Linked DNA regions of Ovis aries. The protein of the gene in region 2 purifies or fractionates together with the protein of the main gene of each other region. This does not show direct contact. Links are inferred from orthologs where the notes say so. Each region holds a gene or a part of one and is shown on either strand. Other genes may lie near its edges.

Region 1 (6,114 bases), on a different chromosome or scaffold from region 2:
CTCTGCACTTTCACTGCAGGAAATGCGGCTTTGATCCCTGGGTCGGGGAACTAAGATCTTGCATGCCGCACAGCGTGCCCCCCAAAACAAAACAAAACAAAGAACTCAACTCCTGTGATAGCCTCTACATTTACGGCCCACATCCACAGTCTCTAGGCTTTCACCTCGCCTCTGTGAGGCTGGCAGCTGGAGAGAAGATCAGGGACTGATTCACGTGGACAAAGCATTAACCTGTCCTGCTCACCTCTCCCATCCAATCTCCTCCCTCTCTCCAGGCTCAGAACTGTTCCCTGAATTCCACAAGTTTCCTCCTACTTCGCTTAGCCTGGAAGGGTCTCACTCCAGCTCCTTACTCAGCTGGCTCCCTCTCATCCTGGCCTCCCTAAGCCGCCCAGTCCCCCCTCGTGTCCCTCCCCACCCTCGTGACGATCCCTAGTGTGATGCAGTGTGTGATGCAGTGTGTGACTACTGTCTAATTCCAGTCTCCTCCACTAGGACCAACAGCTCCATGAAAACAGACACTTCATCCTCAGATCTGTGTTAGTGCCTGGTACCCAGCAGGTATTAAGTAACTAGTTGGTGAATGAATGAATGAGGGGCCAGGATTACTTTGGGTGGGGAGGAGGCTCTATTCCTTCCCCACAGAGTCTGCCAGAGAACATGGTAAGCGCCCACGGAAATGTGTCATGTACCACTTGAGAATAACAGTGGTGGAAATTACCCTCCTCTGAGGCTCACTCCACTCAGGGTGGAGCTCTCAGGGTGTTTGCGCACATAACTCATTGAACCCTTAAGGTTGGAAGATGTGTGATGTCTCTTTTTACAACAGGGAGACTGAGGTCCAGAGACATTAAGGGGCTTGCCCAAGATCACACAACCAGGAAGGCACACTCTTCAGATATAACAGTGGTCTGAGGCCTGCATGTGAAGCCAGAAACACTGAATGAATGAGGGAAACTGAGGCTGAGCCCTGACCCAGGCAGTGGGTGGTCCCCAGCCAGGTCCTGGCCCCTGTGAGGCCTCAGGTTCAATCTCCAGCCTTCTGGAACTGTTTCCCATCCTAACAATCATGGGTGGCTGGGCAGGACTCCAGAGCTCTGCCAGGTAATTTCCTGGGATGAACAGGAGCTGGTGGGGGTGGATGAGGGAGACCATGAAGTCAAGTTCTACAGCCCATCTTCCCTTGCCAGGGGAGCAATGGAGGCCAGGAGGCAGGATTGAGGAGCTCAAGGCAGGTCAGGTACCACCTGGGCAGGGCCAGGCCTTCTCTGGCTGATCTCCCTCCTCTCTCCTAATAGCCTCCTCACAGCTGGCTTGTGAAGACTGCAGGAGCTGACTGAGCCCCCGATTGTCCACACTGAATGGGGGCTTTGGGAAGGCTTACCCTCCCAATTAACAGATGAGAAAACTAAGGCCTGGTCTGAGGAAAGGTTAGAGGCTAAAAGGGTAGGTTATTCTGATTCAGACAGACTCTGTCCTTCTATTGTACAAGCAGTTACTAAACACATGTGGGGTAGCAGATCCTGGGGGAGATGGAGAAGGAGAGACATAGTTAAGCAAGACCTCACAGACTCTAAAGACAGAGAAACCCTTTTGGCCCGAAGAGCTACACTGCCAAGGGTAAGTATTGCCAGGCAGACAGAAATCAACAGAGTGCCATGAACTCGGAGGCTCTTGGCCAGGGGTGCTCCGGGTATTGTACTAGGATACCAACTGATAAGAGCAGGTAACATTTCAGCCTCTTCCAAACCGTGCCCAGCCCGTGGCGGGAGAACCCAGGAAGCCGGCAATCTCCCAGGCCAACACCGACATATGAGGGCTGGGCCGACGCTCAAGTTGCCTCAGTGGGCAGACAGCTTGGCCTGCATCCAGTAGGTCCTCATGTGCACTGAAAGGGTGACGGTCATGCCTGCTTTCCTGGGAAGCTCTCAGGTCCCCTACATGCCCAGAGAAAAAGCCTCTTTCAGATGCCAGCTTTCCTCTTCTTATTGGAAAGGAGATGGGCACTGCTGGGGGGCACGATAGGACTGCTGTGTATACAGGGCCAATCCAAAACTGGGCAGAAGACAATACCCTGGGATTTAGGGAGGTGTGAACGGGTTCTCCCAGGACACCATCCTCCCAGGCTGCAGGACCGTTAGACTGGGCGCGGAAGTCGGACTCTAGCCAAGGGGATGTTCCCAGATGTCATGCTTTCAAATGCGGACCCGCCCTAAAAGGCAGGCAGGGACAGGCCCGAGCCAGGAAAGCCCTGGGTGAAGACTCAGGCTAGTGTTCAGGCCTCTCCTTAGCCAGAGATGGCCACAGGTCTCCCCGGCAAACGGCACACCAGTGCCTGTCCCAGAAAGGAGGGCCACCCAGCGGCCTGGGGGTGGGGGCTTTGAGCCTCGATTTCCGAGGTCCAGGCCCTCACGGAGCACCCACCCCCATCCCAGGCACCTTATCTAAGCATCCTCCAAAGCACTCAAGACCCCCTTCCTAAATCAAAGCCCATCGGCAGTCTCCTCCAGGTTCCTCCCTTAGGAGAAGGTTTCCCAGATACAATGGGAAGCGGGATGCGAGGGAGCCCCTGAGGGTTTAGGCCCCTTGCCCAGCTAGAGCGGTGGGACAGCGGGCCGGCTGGTGCCTCGGGCCAGTGGGGCGGACACCCGCGCCTCCCCGCGGCCTCCCCTTCCCCCACCGGGACCCCCGCCCCGACCCCGCACCTTGAGATAGTCGTTCTCCGAGCGCAGCTCCTCCAGCTCTCGCACGAAGCCTCCGGGTCCGCAGTCCAGCATCTCTTCGGTGAGGTCGGAGAAGGCGAGCGAGGCACTGAGGGGCAGGCGGCTGCTGCCCACCGACGACGCGGCCACCGACGGCTCCTCGGGGGAGGCGGGGGGCCGCGGAGGCTGCTGTGCCGGCTGCGCCGGCTGGGGCGGCTGTCCCGTGCGGGCCCCCCCGGGGCCCCCGGCAGCCGACTCGGCGTCGCTGCTCAGCGCCAGCTCCAGGCCCAGCAGGCGCGCCTCCTCCGACGCGCAGTCCGACACCTCCGAGCTGCTGTCGGTGAGGCTGGGCGGCGGTGGCGGCGGTCTCGGCCCGGTCCCCGGGCGCGGACGGCCCTTGGCGCGGACCCCGGTGCGGACCCCGGCCACTCGCGTCCCTGCGCCCCGCGCCCCGGGCGCCACCGCACGCCCCTTCTTGTCCGGCCTCGCCGAGGACGCGGCGCTGCAAGCGGCCGCGGCGCCCGGGCCTGGGCCGCGGCGGCCCTTGGCCAGAGACCAGCCGGCCACGTCCTTGGGCCGGGCCGGCGACGGCGCGCGGTGGCTCTTCTTCCTCTCCGGTGCGGGAGCAGGCGGGGGGCCGCAGCCCCGAGCCGGGGGCTCCCCCGCCGGCACCTCCATCGCGGTTTGCCTTGGCCTCAAGGAGCGGCGCGCATGGCCCGGGCCCACCCGGCCTCCGCGCCCGGGGGGAGGCTCCTGGCGCCGCTCCGGCCGCTGGGGTCGCGGCTCCTCTCGGCCCACCTCAGACCCCGGGCTGCGCTCCGGCCCCGACCCCCGCCGCACGGTCTCTCCACTGCTCTGGGCTCGGAGAGAGCGGCCCGATCGCCTCCAGGCACCCCGGCTCCGGCTCCGGCTCCGCCCGGCGCCCGCCCCCTCGGCCTCGCCGCGCCCCCGGAGCGTGCCCGGGCCCCGGCTGCCTGCGCGCCGATCGCTCTCTCGAGCTCCGAGTCCGGCTGCGGCCCGGGCCCCGGCTCCGCCCGGCGCGGCCCGCCCCCCGCGCAGCCCCGCCAGCTCCCCGCCCCGCCGCCTCGGCTCGGGGACGCGCGGCTCCGCGAACAAAAGGCGGACGCGGCGGGAGCGGCAGGGAGGGACACAGGCAGCGAGCGAGGGAGGGATCTGCGAGGCAACAGCGACCCCCTCGAGGGTCAGGCCGGCCGAGGCTGCCGAGGCCCCGGCTCCCTCCGCCTCCGTTCCGCCGCCGTCCCCTCCCCTGCTGGCCTGGGCGACGCCCCCGGCGGAGGCGCCTTCGCTCCCCTCATCCGCGCAGAGGTCGCGCGAGCCGCGAGACGGGGGACTCCCAGGCAGAGGCCCGGCGGACCTCAGATCGCGTGAGCCAGCATCCATATACACGCCGAGCACCTCGCCCCTCGCGGCTGTGCGGAGCGTGCGCGAACTCCGCCCCCCTGAACCTAGCGGAGCGAGACAGTTCATCCCAATGTACAGATGCGTAAACTGAAGCCTGGGGAAGACCGGCGATCCCGGCCCACTGTTACTGGCAGAGCCGGGATGGACGCCAGACCTCGCGCCTCCAAGGGCGTGCTCCGGACGTCCAGGCTTGGCTTCCCTCTCATAGTCGTGGGGAGCGTCTGGCCCTCGGTGCCTGCCCAGCTCTGCACGCCTTGACCGGCTGTGACCCCAGGCACGCTCGCTGCTTCCCTGAACCCAGTCTCAGGCTCTGCCCCGCTAAAATCGAGGCGACCCGTTCTGAGAAGTCAGACCTGCGATTGCTTTAGGAGTAGGTTTTGGCTCCCGCGTAGGCTAGTCCGAGCTGGACCTGGTTGCCCTGATCCTCACACGTCCCTGACAGAGCAACTCCATATGACCCTGGAGCCCCGACTCTGATGGGTGTCGTTTCTTCCCTTCCAGAACTGTGCTCCCGTGTTGTTGATGTTCCCATGTGGCTGTCACACCTCCCCCGCCCCCTCTCCTCGCTGCTACCCGCCATCGCCGCCTGGCCCCTGCTGGGCAGAGTCATCGGAAGTCCTTTGGCTGCCCAGCGGGGTGGCGATCACCCTCAGGGTGGCAGCCCCTTGCGACGGTGGGGGGCAGGGCTGTGTTTACCCCTCTGCAGCCCCTTCCTCCTCCCTCTGTTCCTCTTACTTTCGTTTCCTCCTCTTAACCCTTTCCCCCTTCCTTTTCCATTTCCCTTTCCCTCCTCTTCCTCCTCCCCCCAGTCCTGTTGCCTCACTCCTCCGCCTTGACACACAGCTGGCCCCAGCTCCACTTTGTTTCTGTCCCTCCTACCCCACAGCGGTGAATACACTCCTGGGGTTTGCCCTCTCCTTGTGAGGCAAGGCTTCATTCCCATCTAGGGGTGTCTAGGTGTGTGAGTGCCCCCTCCATCCTGAAACCCTTTCTCCAGGTGCCTCCACCAGCCAGGTAAGGAGCAGGGCCCCTTGACAGGTCCTCTGCAAACACTTCTTCAGGGGCATTTCCATCCCCTCCTGGCAAAGCACCAGCTCCCCTGCCGGCACTGACTGTCCACTCACCCAGTCCACAGAGAGCCACAGTGGTGGACTTGTCAGTGGTGAATTCCTGACCTCACGGAGCACGCAGTCAAGGGAGGAGATGAGCCACAAAAGAGTCATCACCCACAGGATGGCATGACATTCCACCAAGGCAAGGACCAAGGTAGGCCCTCCTCTGGTTCTCCGGCCTCAGAAGAGCTCATGTGATATAATGGAGGACAGGGTCCTTCTAGCTCTGATGACCCCATTTCTTGTAGACTGGTTCTGGTCTGGCACAGAGAGATGCTGTGTGGCTCTTAGAAACTCCATACCCTCTCTGAGCTTCAATTTCTCCATCTATGCAGAATGTGGGCTTGGAGATGCTGGATGATGTGAACCGTGGCAGGGGGATACATGCTAGAGCAGGCTGCTCAGCCACTCCTGACACACTCATCAACCACTAGACCATCAGGGAAGTCCCCCAGCAGCTGCCTGGATCTCCCCATGTGGGCCTGGGCGAGAGTCCTGGCTCTACCATGTACCCTGTCTGGGTCCCAACACTCATAGCTAAGCAGGGGGCTAATGGCCCTTCCTGTTCTGAGGGTCTTCAGATGTGGGAGCCCTGAATCCACACTGCAGCCCCAGAAGAGCCTGGGGAACAGCAAGCCCTGGTAGGGCTGGGGTGGCGAGGGCTGGGTAGGGTCAAGGTGCGGGCTCTGGACTCGGTTCAGAGGAGGGAAACAGCAGAAGGAGCAAGACTTGCCAGGGGCCCAGACTTGGCTCCATGGAGGTGGGGAGACCACCCGGGGCTTCCCGACCCCTGAGCACTCATGCCAGGCTCAGTGCCCAACACTTCAGCAGAGGATCCCGGAAAGGTTAGGAACTTCTTGGAACTGACTGTATTTTTT
Region 2 (5,614 bases):
ACCGAATGAAGCAATGATTCCTCTATTCTGTGTCCCTTGCAGCACTGTATAGACTGACTCACAGTTTAGTCTATGAACTATGTAGAACTCTAAAACTGAAAGGGATCTTAGACTTCACTTGTTTTTGCCACATTTTAGATCACTTTCCTGGATCTTTGCACTCTCTTCTCTGAATTGTAAACTCCCTGAAGACAGGGACAATATTTTCTCTTTTAACACAGGGTTTTGTGCATGTGGGTACCCACCTAACTCTTAGGTAAGCTTTCCGTTCCATCCACCAAAAATATGAGATCCTGTACTGGGGCTGAAGGTGATCCCCTTCTTTTCCGCCTCGTGTTCTTCATCCCATCATCTGAGGAGCAGTGGCCCCGGCCCAGCCCTCTTCTTACCCTCCCCCTCTGCCACTTCCCTGCTCTTCTCTCCTCAGGGCTCAGTGTCAGGACATGGAACGAGGATTCCACATCCTGAATGACACTCACTCTAGAATCTCGTTGTACTCAATGGTCTCTTCCAGGTTCTGAAGGTTGGGATTGACACTGCGAATTGCACGCATGTATGCCTTGAGCAGCTGAATGTCTCGCTTCTGTCGGAGGGAAGGAGAACAAGGGATAATGGTTAAGACAGACAATGGATGAAAGACAAAATGAAGGAAATCGAGAGGTCTGAGGAACAACCAGACTGGAAGGTTCATGAAGACAAGGATACGACTGTATCAATCCCAGCTGTACCCTCAGTGCTTGGCAAAGTGCCTCCAAGGGAAGGCATTTGATAAATGGTAAATAAATGAATGTCACTGATGGGATAATGAGGAACAAGAAGAGCTCCAGTCTGATTCGCTGTTATGCATAGGCAGAGTATCCACTAACCAGGCTCACAAGCACAGGCACAGATCCGCCGCTCACATCCGTGCCTATCAACCACAGGCACACACTCTGTGTTCTCCAGGCCCTACCTGCTCCGCCAGCTGGTGTTTGTGTTCCGCTGAGGTCTTTTCCAGCTCTGCAATCCGTGTCTGCTGCTGCTGTACCACTGAGCGCAGGTGCTTAATACAGTTGTGGTTTGGCAGCTCATCTTTGGGCATCTCCAGGCTGCCACCCAGGGTGGGAAAAGAACACGACAGGAGCGTTCAATGAGATATGTGGCACAGGCAGGTAACTGCTGAGAGGGCTTTTCTCTACCGGAAATTACTAACATTCATTCATTTCTAACATTCTCTTGTTTACTGCCTTCACTTCCTTCTCCCCAGCTCCCCCACCCACCATATCCCTTTGCTGTCTTCTTCCTCTGGGCCTCTTTCCTTCTCCAAGACAGTGTTTTATCTCCCACGTGGCTCTGCGTTCCTCTTACAGATTCTGCCTGTGGACTCATTCCTTCTGAGAAGCCCTAGATTCAAAGCCCCAGCTATCAGTATTTAATCAAATATCTTACACCCCAAAGAAAGACAAAATAGGACCAGAGGTAACATGAAAGGCCTGGAAATTAGAGCAGTGAATCTGACAAAGAGAAGTAGTACTGGACAAAAGGGAGGAATAAAGTAAATCAGTCTTTAGTGGTATCACACAGATTGCTGAAGCGGTCTCCCTTCTCTTACTAAAGCAAGAGGACAAAGACTGTAGCTCGGAAAGCAGCACAAAACAGATCCTGGAGCAGGGAGCCAGGGAGGCCAAGAGCACTCCTTGCCTATGCACACAGGAGACCTCTTCAGCAGGGAGTGGGAGGTCCACAGATGGGTATAAACGGGAAGACCCCTCTCTGTGGGCAGAAGAAAGGCAGGACTCTTACCCGCAGCCCTGTTCACAGGTCACAGGCCGTTTGGGGTTGTGCTCACAGTCACTGAGGTGAGACATGAGGTTGTCAAGCCGGACGATAGCACTGCAGCCGAACACAGCGTTGTCGCAGGCAATCTGCAGCTTTGACAGCATGTTCCGCATGATCCGAGGTACTGGGCGCAGGTGGGCGACCGTTACAACGCTCCGGTCCACCGGACACGTCTGCTGCTGAGAGAACCACTGGGTGATGCAGGCATTGCAGAAAGCATGCTCACAGTGAGGGGCCTGGAAGAAGTTAAAGCAGGGCAAAGGGGACACAAGAGAATTAGCGGAGCCAGGAGCCTGGGGACGATAACTCTGCAAAGCCGATCAAGCCGCTGTGCAGCTTCCAGCGCCAGAGGTCCCTGGGGTCACGGCAACAGTGAGATCTGCGATGGGTAAGGCTTCAGATGTGTTTCCTGTGCTCAAGATTCCAAATGGATTGTGACATAAGACAAGTAAAAAGTTATATAACAATAAGAACTATAAATAACATTCCAGGACAGTGAGTGCAAGACATAAGGTGGTCAATTATTAAATGCCAACTGGATTACAAATATACAATAATTGGCCAAAAAATCCAGAGGAGGGTGAGATCTTTCCAGTCTAGGTCAGTCAGGGCAGGTATTTATGGACAGGACAGAATTTGATATGGGTCCTGAGGGATGAACTGGGGGGAGGGGGGCAGAGACTTACTGGCAAAAGTTCATTTTTCTTTGGCTGCGAGACCTCAGTTCCCCAACAAAGGACTGAACTTGGGCCACAACAGTGAAAGTGCCAAATCCTTAACCATTAGACCACCAGGGAGCTCCCCCAAGTTCTTATGTTATGAGGCCCAACCCGAGGTGTTGCCCTGAGTCCCAAGGAGCAATGCCTACGCTCCAAAACAGGTCTAGATTTTTGTAGAATCACATTCTCTTCAGTTTCATAAAGATCATATTTCAGCCTACTTCCTTGATAATGCAAAGTGAGAGGATTCTCTGGCCTCCAGCATGGGACAGACAGAGCGGGCACTTACTAGATGTTGATGAATGGATGAATGATGCTGAGCGCTTTTTTATGAGCCAAACATTTTGCTACGTGGTTAAATTTAAAAAGGTAAGACAGTTTCTGCCTTCAAAATGCTCAGATTGTAACATACAAAGGCTTCATAAGAAAAGAAGTCATTATCAATATCATTAATCCAACTGTCACTTTCGCTGAAAGTGAATCAAATAATATTTGATTCTTTTCAAAATCTTAGACCCTATCTCAAAAATCCTAGGTGTGTCCACTTTTCTCCATCTGTACTACCACTAACCCAGTTCAAGTGATCACCTCTCATCTAAATTATCATGTCTTCTAACTGGTCTTCCTGCTTCCACCTTACCCCTTTATAATCCACCCTACACTCAGCACCTGGAGTGATCATTTAGAAATGCAAACTGGATCATATTCCTCACCTGTTTAAAATTTTACAATGGTTTCCCATTACACCTAAAATAAATCCAAACTCCTGCCCAGGACTTAAAAATTCTGTTTGATCTGGCCCTGTGCCTCTCCTCACACCATGCTCCCAGCACTGACTTCAGGCCCTTCTGGCATTCTCTCTTCCTCATCCCACCCTGCTCATTACTGTCTCTTGCTTTTGCTGCTCCCCTTTGCTGGCCCCTTATCGTTCTGATCTCAGCTCAGTTGAACCTCTTTCATGACCTTTCTATCTAAACCTGCCACCCCTGCGGAAGTATACAGAAGGCGCTACTTTTGTGTAAGAAAGGTAGGCAAATATATGTGTACATTCACACTTGCTTGTATCTGCCCCCATACACACTGGAAGGATACCAAATTAACAGAAATGGCTATTGATGAGGGGATTAGGTGGACTGGGACAAAGATGAATTAAGACTTTTCACCATACATCTTTTTCTACTGTTTTGATTTCTAAACCATATGACTTTATTATCTATTTTTAAAAAAATGATGTAGGGAAATCAGCATCCCTAGCAGAAGTTTTCTGTCCTTGGACATGCGTCTATTAACCTGGCTTGCTCCTCAGACAGTAAAGCCTGAGTGGGTGGGGGAGGATTTTCTGTCTCAGAGAGTCACTAACTGCCACTGATTTCTCCACACGTGACTCACCTCAAATGACGGTGCCAGAAAACAGACAAGGCCCTGTCAGGGTGGAGAGGGAACTGACACACCCCATGACCTCTTGACACCACGAGGACAGCCTGCTCCACACCCAGCCAATCTGCTTCTAATGGCATGCGTGCGTGCTAAGTTGCTTCAGTCATGTCTGACTCTTTGCAACCCTATGGACTGTCGTCCACCAGGCTCCTCCGTGTCTATGGGATTTCCCAGGCAAGAATACTGGAGTGGGTTACCATTTCCCTCTCCAGGGGATCTTCCTGACCCAGGGATCGAACCTACATCTCTTACATCTCCTGCACTGGTAGGCAGGTTCTTTACCACTAGCGCCACCTGGCAGCAGGCTGCAAAGGCAGGCGATAGGGCCAGGGCTTGCTGTCACTGGAATGCATTCTGATTTTCATTCAGTTCAGTCATCTGTGTTCCTTTGGGTAGCTAACAACTGGAGAGTAAGAATAAACTCCAAGAATCAAGGGGAGCCTTGTATAAGCAGTGAGTGGGGGAAGGGCCACAGCCCTCATTGACTGGTGTCTGGGTTTGGAACATGGTATTATCTCTACCTAGTCAGAGCAGTGGCAGAGGATTAATTGGTATTTACAGAGTACAGGCAATAAGGACCATGCAGAATGATGTCCCATGAATACAACTGTTAAGAATTCACCTTGTTCATTATACTTGCCTGGTACTCATGAGCTTCTCCTCACACTTGCCCCAGGAAGACACAATTATCTTTGGTCTCTCAAAGCTGGTAAAGAAATGACCTAGTGAAGGTGGCAGCTTTCATATCACAATGCAGAGTACATGGCTGCATTAAAAACTCCCCCCCCCCCCCCGCCAATAAATCCTAGGAAGAAACTAGATCAGTTTATACAGCTCCCCACTTCCTATCTGTTAAACAGTAGGCAGGCCCTCAGGCTGATAGGAGAAGGCAATGGCACCCCACTCCAGTACTCTTGCCTGGAAAATCCCATGGATGGAGGAGCCTGCTGGGCTGCAGTCCATGGGGTCGCTAAGAGTGGGACACGACTGAGCGACTTCACTTTCACTTTTCACTTTCATGCACTGGAGAAGGAAATGGCAACCCACTCCAGTGTTCTTGACTGGAGAATCCCAGGGACAGGGGAGCCCGGTGGGCTGCCGTCTATGGTGTCACACAGAGTCAGACACGACTGAAGCGACTTAGCAGCAGCAGGCTGATAACCTGAGACACTGCATCATGAAAATGCAGAGAGAACTTACTAGGAGAGTCCAGAAGTTCAGTTGTGGAAAGGGAGATGGAACCTAGTTAGAGCCCCTGAAGAGAAAAAGAAGCTACCAAGCTATTGTCAAGAGGACAGAAACAAATAGCTGACCATTTTACAGCATGAAAACCTCACCTCCGAAGAAATTCGGAACCAGCTGCACTTCTGCGGTGTCCGCCTCTACACAGACTCTGGAAGGCCCCGTTCCTGGTGTCACCACCCCTGCTCCTTTGCCCCAGACCTCTAGTCTGCGTGTGTCAGGAGTGTGGGGAGTGGGAGCCTCAACAGTGGCTTCCCCATTGGCCCCATTTCCTAAGAATGTTTTCTAATTAGCTCCACTGCCATCTGTTGCCTCACCAAACCTGCCATCAACCCGACTCACCTGGACTGGCTCCTCCAAGACTCCACTGCAAATAGGACAGATAAGGTCTTCATCAA

The links. Proteins that work in one complex are often made in the same cells at the same time.
Region 1: the proteins of RNF41 (region 2) and MTCL2 purify together in Homo sapiens (affinity purification with mass spectrometry; 3 studies listed by BioGRID and IntAct, with this or other methods). This does not show direct contact. The link is inferred for Ovis aries from reciprocal best matches to the Homo sapiens genes RNF41 and MTCL2.

What each region holds. Positions count from the first base shown.
Region 1 is NC_056066.1:65,887,594-65,893,707, forward strand, and holds the start of MTCL2 (protein SOGA1), read right to left. Parts: upstream 3,729-6,114; 5' UTR 3,381-3,728; coding exon 2,706-3,380; intron 1,177-2,705; exon of another isoform or gene 1-1,176. UniProt on the Homo sapiens protein: Microtubule-associated factor that enables integration of the centrosomal and Golgi-associated microtubules on the Golgi membrane, supporting directional migration. Preferentially acts on the perinuclear microtubules accumulated around the Golgi.
Region 2 is NC_056056.1:163,341,435-163,347,048, reverse strand, and holds part of RNF41 (E3 ubiquitin-protein ligase NRDP1), read right to left. Parts: coding exon 5,559-5,614; exon of another isoform or gene 2,055-5,558; coding exon 1,783-2,054; exon of another isoform or gene 1,089-1,782; coding exon 953-1,088; exon of another isoform or gene 584-952; coding exon 480-583; intron 1-479. UniProt on the Homo sapiens protein: Acts as E3 ubiquitin-protein ligase and regulates the degradation of target proteins. Polyubiquitinates MYD88. Negatively regulates MYD88-dependent production of pro-inflammatory cytokines.